Linked DNA regions of Neodiprion lecontei. The protein of the gene in region 2 interacts with the protein of the main gene of each other region in a pairwise test. Links are inferred from orthologs where the notes say so. Each region holds a gene or a part of one and is shown on either strand. Other genes may lie near its edges. The genes, in order: ecotropic viral integration site 5 ortholog, ras-related protein Rab6 and golgin subfamily A member 1.

Region 1 (3,760 bases), on a different chromosome or scaffold from region 2:
ACTGTATATTCAGTTGCTGTATCGTTCTGTTTTATCGACGAATCTAGTGGTCGATAAAGGAAAGGGCAATGTTACCATCTTTCCCAAAATTATCAGAGATTTCGACAATGTCGGTCACGTGTTCTTCAAATTAACTTTCAACTTCTATATTCCGACTGTTCTTCGATTGTTTCAAAACAATATTCATAAACTACGTCGTAAAATGTACAGAAGTTTCAGTATCCGTGATCTCTGCATGGTTTTTGAAACCCATGTTATAATTGGTCGAGAAATTATAGTTTCAGCTACATTTGGAAAGACGATCGCGTTTGGCTTTGGCTGACATAATTGGAACAATACTTGGGAAACAGAGAGAGAATCATGAATTGCAGAAGCACCGTCCGTGGCGAGGTATTTCCTTTTTTTCATTCTAATTACAAAACTACGATTTTACGCAATGTTACCGTAACGGTTCACTTGCAATGGTTCAAGGCTACGTCTTGTAACGAAAATTGCGGAGAAATTTTTCACCGTAAAATCGAAGAGCATTCATATTAGAGGCAAATTTAAGAGACAAATAATTTTGCTTGTGAAGCAAACAAAACAAAAGCTTCTTTCAAAACTTTCAATAATTTCTTTCAAAAGCGTTTTGAAATCTAGAAAGAAAAAAAATTTATAACAAATTAGACCACAGACTGTACATATCCAGCAGTACAAAATGTTTTACAAAATACTTTCGGGCATTGTAAATGTAAATTTAGGCTAGTAAATGTTTTAACCTTAATTAATACCTTCAGAATTCAATTTCCTCTTGAATAAAACAAAAACAAATTTTGATAGTAAAATGGAACCAAAAACGTTCCGTTCCTTCTCAAATTATATATATTTTTCTAAAAAAAAATTTTCAATAATTATAAAATTTTTCAATATGCTCGCACGTATTGATTTCCTTCAACACTAATTTCTTAAATTATATTTCTAACAGGGTGGCCACAAATTGTTGTGAAAAAATTGTATGAAATTTCCAGATTTCCCACGACCTAAAACCTAGTTTTTTCTGACATTTTTCCAGTTCTAGTAAGTCACTAAAACCAAAATCGTTCGGTTTATCAACCCTATATTCGGTTCAAAATTCAATTCGAATAGAAGAAACATATAACGTACAAAAAAGTCAGTTTAAGCCAACTTGTTTTCCTCGACGAAATAAAAGTCAACTTGTTACCTCAAAAGATCATTTCCAATTTCCGTGATAGAAAACTGATATTTTAAGTTTATTCAATCACTAAATTAAAAATCCTCTGACATTTCCAGGTTTTTTAGGTGTGTGGCCACCCTGCCTAGGCAAAATAAAAAAAAAAAAGGTGAGGTGATTATTATCAGAAGAAGTTACGACACAGCGAAGGAGAAAAATGTAAATCTATACGTATATAGTCGAGGAAATCAGTCCAATTGATTTTTACCCGTCTCGCGAAATAACGACATTCGCTGGCTGATGATGGAAGGATATCACGAAAGCATTATTACAAGGAAGGAGGATTTCAATCACTGTATATAATACGTGATTACCTCTTGGTTGCTTTTCCTCGCGTCCACCTCGCCGCCGCCGGGGCCAAAAGACCGAGTAGAACCATTCAGCCAATGCGTTCAGTTTATTTAAACTTCGGATCTTTATATCTTTAATGTATTATATATATATATATATATATATATATATATAATTTATAACCGTGTCGTAAGTATATTATTATCACATTACACGTAAACACAAATAAGGAGAAATTTCCCGATTAAGTTTCTTTTTCCTTGTATCATTCCCCGCGGATTCTGAATTTCCTTTCAACCGATGCGGATGATATTTCCGTGTCTTACGGTATTTCCGCCTCGGTAACGTTCATCTTTTCGCTCATTTGCAATCACGCAGACCACGGTATGTATATATCTATGTAGATATGTATGTATTGTATAATCACTCCAGTGCCAGAATAATGCACGATGACAAGAGAAACGTCAACACTGCCTGCGACCTGTGAGAAATAACATGATAAAGTGATTTCTGATCCCGAACTTGAACGATATTCTTCCTTTTTATGTATTGTTTCGGCACAAAAATTTTCAACTTTTGAAAGATCCTGTAGCCTGGCTAGCAACGGGTCGCTGAGCAAGTCTTCAAGTCCGCAAAACGAAAGAAAAACAGAAAAAAACGTAAATTCTAAAATACAAAAAGAATAAAAATAAATAATGTATAATTTATCTCCGACAAGTAAAATTCTTGTAATCGATGAAATATCGTTGAAAATAGAAGAAAAAAATATGTATATATATTAAGAGACGCGTGAAAAAATGCTTGGAAAATTTGAAATAAAAAATTGCAGAAGAAGAATACAATCGTGTATAATAATTCAATGAATATATTCAATGATTTAGTGAAGCGTATAATTGACTGGAGTTAAATTCCCGCCAAATTTATGAAGAAGTAAGAGAAATAAAATTAAACAAACCGACGTCAACTCAGGCAAAGAAAAGAATATATAGGTATAATACTGATTTCGATTGCACCTGACAAGGTGTGGAATTACATGATCTGAATGTCGAAGTGTACGTATGACTCTGAATTCACAGTGTGTGTGTGTGTTTTTTTCCGAGGTGTGCGGCAGACGGAGAGGTCGAGACGTGACAATGACGTCGACGAGGTCGGACACAACACTGTGCTTCGGTACCGCGTTAGGTATCCAGGCTCTCGCGAGTCTCGCAGACGGACGAGGAGCGCCGTTTGCAGCTCGACGATGGTTTCGTTTGGAGGTCGATGAAGCCGGCGCAGGGTTGACGGAACCTTCTGCGCGGCGACCTCCGCCGTCGCGTCGTCGTCGTCCAGGTCGGCAACGGCGGGAGTAACTTTTCGGAACGTTATTTTTATAACGGATGAAGTCCTAAATTTACGTTTATAGGGAACTTTTTACGGGAGCAACTTGTCAGAACGTTATTTTTATAACGGGTGAAGTCCTAAATTTACTTTTCTAGGGAATTTTCTATGGAAGCAAATTTTCGGAACGTTATTTTTATAACGGATGAAGTCCTAAATTTACGTTTCTAGGGAATTTTTTACGGGAGCAACTTGTCGGAATGTTATTTTTACAGCGGATGAAGTCCTGAATTTACGTTTCTAGGGAATTTTCTATGGGAACAACTTTTCGGAACGTTATTTTTATAACGGATGAAGTCCTAAATTTACGTTTATAGGGAATTTTTCACGGGAGCAACTTGTCAGAACGTTATTTTTATAACGGGTGAAGTCCTAAATTTACTTTTCTAGGAAATTTTCTATGGAAGCAAATTTTCGGAACGTTATTTTTATAACGGATGGAGTCCCAAATTTACGTTTCTAGGGAATTTTTTACGGCAGCAACTTGTCGGAACAATATTTTTATAACGGATGAAGTCCTAAATTTACGTTTCTAGGGATTTTTCTATGGAAGCAACTTTTCGGAACGTTATCTTTATAACGGATGAAGTCCTCAATTTATGTTTCTAGGGAATTTTCTATGGAAGCAGATTTTTGGAACGTTATTTGTATAACGGATGAAGTCCTGTATTTACGTTTCTAAGGAATTTTCTATGGGACAACTTTTCGGAACGTTATTTTTATAACGTATGAAGTCCTGTATTTACGTTTCTAGGGAATTTTCTATGGGAGCAACTTTTCGGAACGTTATTTTTATAACGAAGGAAGTCCTAAATTTACGTTCCTGGGGAATTTTCTATGGGAACAACTTTTCGGAACGTT
Region 2 (3,760 bases):
AACTCGACAAATCGGTTGAATCTCGTTTAGTGCTTCTATGCAAATTAATCGCTTCCTGTCCATCTATTATTTATGTGTATTCTAAACTAGTGATATAAATAGTGTCTTATACTTTTACAAGTAAGTAAAAGTAGTTACGAGTACTGAATAAAATTTGTAATCAATTTTCGCAGCGGGACTGTATAGTGGCCAAATGAAAAGAAAAATTACAGAGATGGCTCCAACTATAATTATAATTATAAACATCTTAATACGCACCTGATACGTGTTGTCAAAGCTATCATACATAAACCTTGTGATGAGGGAGGTTTTACCAACTGCAAAAAGATCAAATTATTCAATAAAAATAACACGAAATAAAATTCTGATCATTTTATATATGATACTAAGAAATAGTTGACGTAGTCTGTAATTAATACTAATGCGTAGCCCGGCCGAATGAAAAATTTCTGGCGTGTTAAATAACTCGCAGTTAATTAATTCAAGATCAATAGCAAAAACAAGTTGAACTGTATTTGTTAACATCGAAATATTGAGAAGACTGTTTCATAATGCTGTGATCATTTTTCTGAAAAAATCAACTTTTAACAAATCACAAGGAAGATCAGTCATGATCTAAGGATCAAACATGCTGAGGTACATCCCCTGATACTACAATAATTGCCGATAATTACAAAGATGTGAACAAATTATTCCGTTTATACAAAATTCACTGATTGTATATCATTTCATATTTCACCGTTTTTCATTATTGATGAAGATATTTTGATGACGTTTGTCTAACAGAGTTATTTTTAAAACAGGGCAATAGTATTTCTACTCTGCAATTTTTTCTGAATAAAATTGAATTATTTTTGCCAAAAATTTATGGGAATTTCCCCTGTCCATGCGTCAGAAATTACTAATCTCAATAATAATTAAAGACACTGAGAATTTGTATAAATAAACTCAGAATATTTTGACACCTAGGTCATTGTGTTAAAAAATCGTTATTTTTAATAGTCAAATAACACTTCTGGATGTCAGAAAGGCTGATTTTAGCTTGCTTAAATGTGTTCATTTTTTGAGACAATAGATCGACATGAGTTCAATGTGTATTCACTTCATTTTTCAAAGTAAACTCACATCTTTCTCCCTAATCTGATGAAATTATGGATTATTGAAAAATAGTTATTCATCATGCATCATACACTAAAAACTAGATAAATTAGACTATTAATTCATTGTATGTTGATGGCGTGAATTTCAATTGAGCGGGGCATAAAAAGCCGGTAACTACATGGCAGAATTGTGTTTTTGTTTTTCCATTGAGTAAGCAAGTAACTGTTCATGGAGAATCACATTATGCTTATTGTGGCTCAGGCAAGTTCAGAATAACTGTTCATTAATCTGTAAATTTCATCTCCCAGGAACTGTATTAATATGTAAATACGTACTTTAATGTGAACTAATACACATGACCATTATTATGAAAAGTCAAATATTATTAACCATGTCTTAATAAAGCAATTTTTTCCATGCATATAAAAAACAGTATTCTTATAATTTCTTAATTTTTTGGCAAAATTTTCTGGTAACTTTTCACTAGTATTCAATCACTTTAGAAGATTTAAGTAGTTCAATAATATTAATATAGGATATGAAAAATGCTACTTTTTTTTTTGTTTCTCTTACAATTAGTCATTCGTACAAATAGAGTAGCTTATACTTGATAGTTAATCTTAGTTTATTTTTGCTGCCAGTTTACTATACCAATATTTATAATAGATAAATGCTAGAGATTCCAGATAAAAGGTCATTTCATATTTAAGCATTCAATTCTTATTCGTAACAAAAAAGAAGATGAAACAAAAAAAATCGATTGCTAGTATTAATGTAAATTTTCATTTACAGCAAAACAGAAAAAAAAGCAATCACCGATATAATTTGATCCAGTGATATCGGTACAATAAGCTGTATTATTTATTTGTCCGATAAATAACGATATATAACAGCGATGCGAAGTATTATTGCAAGTACCGAATCGGATTTGAGACTCACGTCAGCTACGGCAGACGGACAGGGGAAAATATCGATTTATAACCTAGAACGTTATTGAAAATTCATGCGTAGTATAGATGTCGAAAGTTCAGTCTCCAACGGAGTGGTGGATAAGAAAAAAGTAGAGAACTTAAGGGAAACTAAATTTAAATTCATTGAAATATGTGTCAAAATGCTCACCGCTCTGTTCACCAAGAAAAACGAGCTTGAATTTTCGCAGCGGGTTACCGAAATCACCCGAAGACGACATATTTTGAGGCTTCGTTTCACTTTGCTTGACACGCAATAATCAAATCTCACTATATCGCGCCGTAGCCGATGGGAAAAGTCATTAATATTTCCAAATAACCATATAATTTGACAGATTCAACAGCCACTCCTTTCGGCACGGCAGCCACGTTTGACTGGGAAGTGACGTCACGCCACTGTGTTAACGCTTCGTTTCTCCATCATGCCAAAGTCCGACGATTTCGTTACTCGCCGCTAGATGACGATGTATAAAGATCCCATGTGTCAAAATGTGAAAGGAGAATGTAACAGTCCTACCCTTGCCGACCGAATCACCTATCGCTCGCATTATCGCGTGGTACGTACAACCCATGTATGTACATACGTGCATACAACCGCGGGTGGGACCAAAGATTTCTAAATGATTGGTCATTTTCAAGTCCGGTGAACTTACGTCTAGTGGAGGACGCTAACGATGAGGCGAGTTTTGATACAGAAATTTTTGTCTGTTACCGAATCATAATCAATTAATATTGTAAGCCCCCCCATAAGCAAATTGGTAAATGTAGAACACCGTCATTATTACCGTATCCAGGGTGTTTTTATCTGATCCAGCGGTTCAAATTACAATTCTGTAAATGCATTATACAGGAATTCTTATTCATTTTTACAACATAATATATTACAGCTTCAGTCTTAGCCTATACACTTTCTTATTCTATGCGGGATTCCCAATATTCAAAACAGAAAGAAAAACTTGAAACTTTGAAAAAATCATGAATTTTAATTCACAAATTTGAATGAACAAAGTTGACTGAACGTGTATATGTACTAACGAATATATGTATGTACATAGAAATATAATTTCCCGCTTTATAATTTTATCACATACATAAAAGTAAGATGTTTACATTATGTGGTAGTTTAAAATTCAATGTCAATAGTACAAAATACAGATATTCGCAATGAGTTAAAGTAGTATAGCAAAATAAATTCCTTTTATTACACTTTTTACTCAATCAGTAACGATGGTTCATTTGGTCACAATGAAATGAATACATTCATTTTGTAGGTTTATGCACAACATGGTGTATGGTAATTTATATAATAGCTTAATTATAAATTTTATTACATATTTACATATATGCAATATGCAGGTGTGAACCTTGGCTAGATAGTACGCATTGACAAGGTACTAGAGAAAAAAATAATTAAACAAAGCATTTAAGTATTATAAACAGTTTTCTACAGCAGAATATTTCAGCTTCCATTATTTATATCCTGCCATAGAATTAATCAAACTTTGAGTAGTCACGATCGATTACTGTTGCTGTTGCCGAGCTCTGTTATTTGCTCTATCTCTATAAGGACATTCGATCACAATTGAGTTACAAACAAGATCGTAACCAGTTCTGTTGAACCTGAAGAAAAACAGGGCAAAGGAAATAGGAAACAGAAATGCTAAGATCAAATTCTTGACTATCGATCGACC
Region 3 (3,760 bases), on a different chromosome or scaffold from region 2:
TTCGTATATCCACTTGATCGTACAAAGAGTTGTGAAGTACGAAAATCTGGGGCGACAAAATCGAAACCTTTCCGAGCTTGCATACAGGATGTAGAGAGTTTTCGAAAAAAGAGAATTTGGTGAAAAAGAATGACTGCTTAGTTAGAATCGGTCTTCCTATATTTTTGAAACAATTCTATCGTCCCTCTTTAATAATACCATCATAGACTGTTGATATATTGTAAATAGGGAAAAATACAGCATACAGCGCCTACGAGAGTTGCAATTCGCACTACACGTGTAGCACGGGACTGCGTAAATCAGGCGCTGAACTTGTGGCACGAAACAAAAACCTTACCCCGAAATAATACAATTATTGGCTGCGTCATATTTCACTTCAGCCTAAGTGCATCGGCAGATCCGGAATTAATTGACTCGTCGCATACAACCGATAGTGTATTTTTATCCCACAGCAATAATGATAATTTATTACAAGTTTTCCGGTGTATTACACACGCTTAACATTAGAACAAAGACTGTGTCAAAATGCTGTGGTTTACCAGTTTCGATCTGACTTTTGGTTACTTATCAAAAGAATCCTGTCTTTATTTACAAGTAACGAACGGGGTGAGTTAAAAATAGCTAAGCTGCCGGCTGCAAGTAAACGAACATTGCAGTCTACTGACGAACGAACCGGTCGGCCAAGCATTGACTGACGCTTCGTACACCCGTGCTCGACTACGTAAATATACACACAAGTAGCGTAGAATAAAGGGTGTAAAACTTACGTCTCAAAATAGTTGATCGATGCCTCTGTATCGTCTGGAGATGTACGAATCATGTTTGAGAAGGTACGTCACTCCTTACGGCATTACTATTCCATTCAAAACACCGATAAAAACTTGACAGAATTCACACGCCCTTACAACCCACTCACAATGCACTCGTCTAACCGAAAATTCTACCGAAACATTTGAAAGATACGTGGTTCGGAATGCAAACATGAGGTCGCTCGCATCGCGATTTCTATTGGTTCTCTCTGTAGGGCATTTTAATAATGGCGACAAAATTCACGGTTACCAACATGCAGGAGTCAGTCGAAGTTGCTATTAAAATTTTCCTCGGGCTCGTTATTTTTAGCCTGTCAAACCTCTTGGCATTCAAATGCATGTATTTAATAATTTGTGGGTTAATTATCCTTTACGTAACTAACTTTTTTTGCAACATGAACATGGTGTAGTCGCTCGAACCTAAAATTTCAAAAGTCCCGCTATTGCATGAAGAAAATTTCACCGAAGTGGTTCACTCGATTATAAGCGCTTTGTGAATTACGTCATCACAGCGGTGTCGTCGGTGAATAATTATGACCAGAGATATGTCGCGGGTTGCAATTGTGGAAGTATTGTTTTCTTTCTTACTATTTGCTTTTTTTTAATGTGGTAGAAATCGTACAGTGGTCTCCGTCATGCAAAATATTTTCACTAAACGTCGCTCGGCAACAGTGTTAGTAATAATATAAAAATCAAAGACTACATTTTTATTCTAAATTGATATGTGTAATGGATTTTTATCAGCTGGAAGTAATTGGAACTTAATAGAAGAAATGATTAAATCGCAGCTACAATAAAAAACAGAAATAATAATAGTAGGTAGTTATCATTCGTTATCAGTAGATGCCGGCAGGCAGGTGACGTGACGTTGACAACCAGCTTGTATAAAACTACGATATATCGTAGACTTCAACTTTGATACCACCCTCTTAGCAATATCCGGAAAATCAAAGAAAATATAGTTTGTGAAGATGTTTGTGAGCTTGAAAAACAAAATACGCGAGGAAACTGGCAGCGACGTTTCCACGGTTGTCAGAAAAGCTGGAAACGTTCGTAACGTTGGCACACGGCACACGTCTCAGGTAAATGTTTCGCAATCGTACTCTCACCTTATTATCTCAAAGAAAACCAAATCAGATTTTAGAAAACAAGTGAATTTATAACATTTTTTTGCTCATATGATGACGTTGCCAACTAATTTTGTAATTTTGTAATTTTATATCTTTCTTACCCTCTGTCTGATTATTTCTTGCAGACCGGTTCAACGAGCAGTATTAGTGGCTCTATGGTATCACTGGATGGTTCGAGAGAAGAGAATACAGTTTCGCCGACGCCACCGATACAGCTGAAAAGAGAGAATAGTTTTGAATATAAACTAAGTGATGGAATGCAATTATCATCTAAGGATATAAAAAGAATTGAGAGCAGAGAAGATGAGTGGAGGAAAAGACTGGCGAGGAGAGAAAGCGAGCTTGTAAAAAAGTTGGAAAAGAAAGACGAAGAATGGAAAGTCAGGCTGCAGGAGAGAGAGAAGGAGTGGAAAAAATTATTGGATAAACAGGAGAAGGAGAAATTAAAGCTTGAGGATGAAAGAAGAAAAGCCGAGGATGCCAGACGAGTGACTGAACTTGCTTTGAAAAATGCTGAAGGTATGTGGAGAAAGATGTTACATATGTTGAAAAATGTCACTTTGATATTTATATGAGATAATCTGAACAATCCATTACATAGTTCTGTACAAATGCAACCGGCATGCAATGATTGATAGCAAAAAAATTATGTTTTCTTGTGTTTGTCATATATTAATTTGTCAATTTTTAGTACTCTCATTCTCACTGTACAGAAATATTGACTAACAAATAGTACTTCGAAAAAATCAGATGTAATATCAGTGCTAGAAGAAATTTTTTCTAAAAAATGCGATATGCAATTTGAATTGTAATCAAAATTCACATTTTGCTCAGTTATAATTTCTTGTGTAATTTTCTTTGGCAGAGTACAAAAAAAAACTGTACAGCTTTCAAGAAGATGCTGAACAGTTGGAAGGTTTTCAAACACAAGAAATGGCAAAGATCAAACATCTTGTAAGTTTATATTAATTATCGTGTTAAATGGAACTGTGTTCGGAGTATCAAAGAATTATCTCAAAAACATATTCATCTGATTAACAGCTACTGGCTAAAGAGCAGGAGGTAGACGAAAAAGTGCATCATCTGAAGCATGCAACCGCTGAGGTAGAGAGTCTCAAAACTGAGGTATCGAGGCTCAGGCGTTACGAAGACGAGTTGAATAACGTACAGGTGAGTACAAAGAAATGTTGAACTACTTCTTTTTCAAACTTTTCAAAGCGTGTAAACACGATGATGTGAAATATCGATGGAACGAATGTAATTAAAGTTGACTACACTAAATTGATATTGTTCACGATGTTACTATGACTCGAAAAGAATTATCAGGGTCTTATTAACAGTGTAAATTCTGTGTCTTTTGTACAGCTGAATAAGTTGTAAGAACCTAATTTTAATATCCGTATGCCAATTCGATTTAACAAGTGTTGCCTAATGTCTTGCGACAGAAGGAGATTATCGTCTAACACATATCACAGACGATTCACAATGCTAATTGTTCTCTGATTTACACTGTTGAATATTTTATCAGGTAAAAATCTTACCATCTTGTGCTTGCGGTCTTGATATATATTTTAACAGCACAACGAGTCGCAAGGTTTTAAATAATAATAATCCGACAAATATGTATGTTTTACAGTTCTTTCGCACCTTAAACCTCAATTATTAAAACCTGATTCCTCAAATAGCTGGAATTTTCCACATTATTACTATCGATAGTAATAGTTATAATTTTTAGTCAGCCAGTTCATAGGCATTCTTCTATACTGTAATGATTTTGCTTTTTGTTTTGTGATAATTTTTGCATTTTATTGTTCTCCCCTT

What was found.
Region 1: the proteins of ras-related protein Rab6 (region 2) and ecotropic viral integration site 5 ortholog interact in a two-hybrid assay, tested with the Drosophila melanogaster proteins (2 studies listed by BioGRID). The link is inferred for Neodiprion lecontei from reciprocal best matches to the Drosophila melanogaster genes Rab6 and Evi5.
Region 3: the proteins of ras-related protein Rab6 (region 2) and golgin subfamily A member 1 interact in a two-hybrid assay, tested with the Drosophila melanogaster proteins (2 studies listed by BioGRID). The link is inferred for Neodiprion lecontei from reciprocal best matches to the Drosophila melanogaster genes Rab6 and Golgin97.

The regions. Positions count from the first base shown.
Region 1 is NC_060266.1:6,842,408-6,846,167, forward strand, and holds the start of ecotropic viral integration site 5 ortholog, read right to left. Parts: upstream 2,711-3,760; 5' UTR 2,556-2,710; exon of another isoform or gene 2,536-2,555; intron 2,004-2,535; 5' UTR 1,611-2,003; coding exon 1,546-1,610; intron 1-1,545. UniProt on the Drosophila melanogaster protein: Functions as a GTPase-activating protein (GAP). During border cell migration in the ovary, acts as a GAP for Rab11 and is necessary for the maintenance of active receptor tyrosine kinases at the leading edge.
Region 2 is NC_060263.1:23,060,035-23,063,794, forward strand, and holds the start of ras-related protein Rab6, read right to left. Parts: upstream 2,466-3,760; 5' UTR 2,291-2,465; coding exon 2,221-2,290; intron 318-2,220; coding exon 259-317; intron 1-258. Other genes in the region: protein FAM8A1, read right to left, coding at 3,590-3,760. UniProt on the Drosophila melanogaster protein: Protein transport. Regulator of membrane traffic from the Golgi apparatus towards the endoplasmic reticulum (ER). Mediates membrane trafficking during egg chamber growth and organization, possibly upstream of exocyst component Sec5.
Region 3 is NC_060261.1:30,074,713-30,078,472, forward strand, and holds the start of golgin subfamily A member 1, read left to right. Parts: upstream 1-1,319; 5' UTR 1,320-1,780; coding exon 1,781-1,891; intron 1,892-2,064; coding exon 2,065-2,458; intron 2,459-2,804; coding exon 2,805-2,893; intron 2,894-2,980; coding exon 2,981-3,109; intron 3,110-3,760.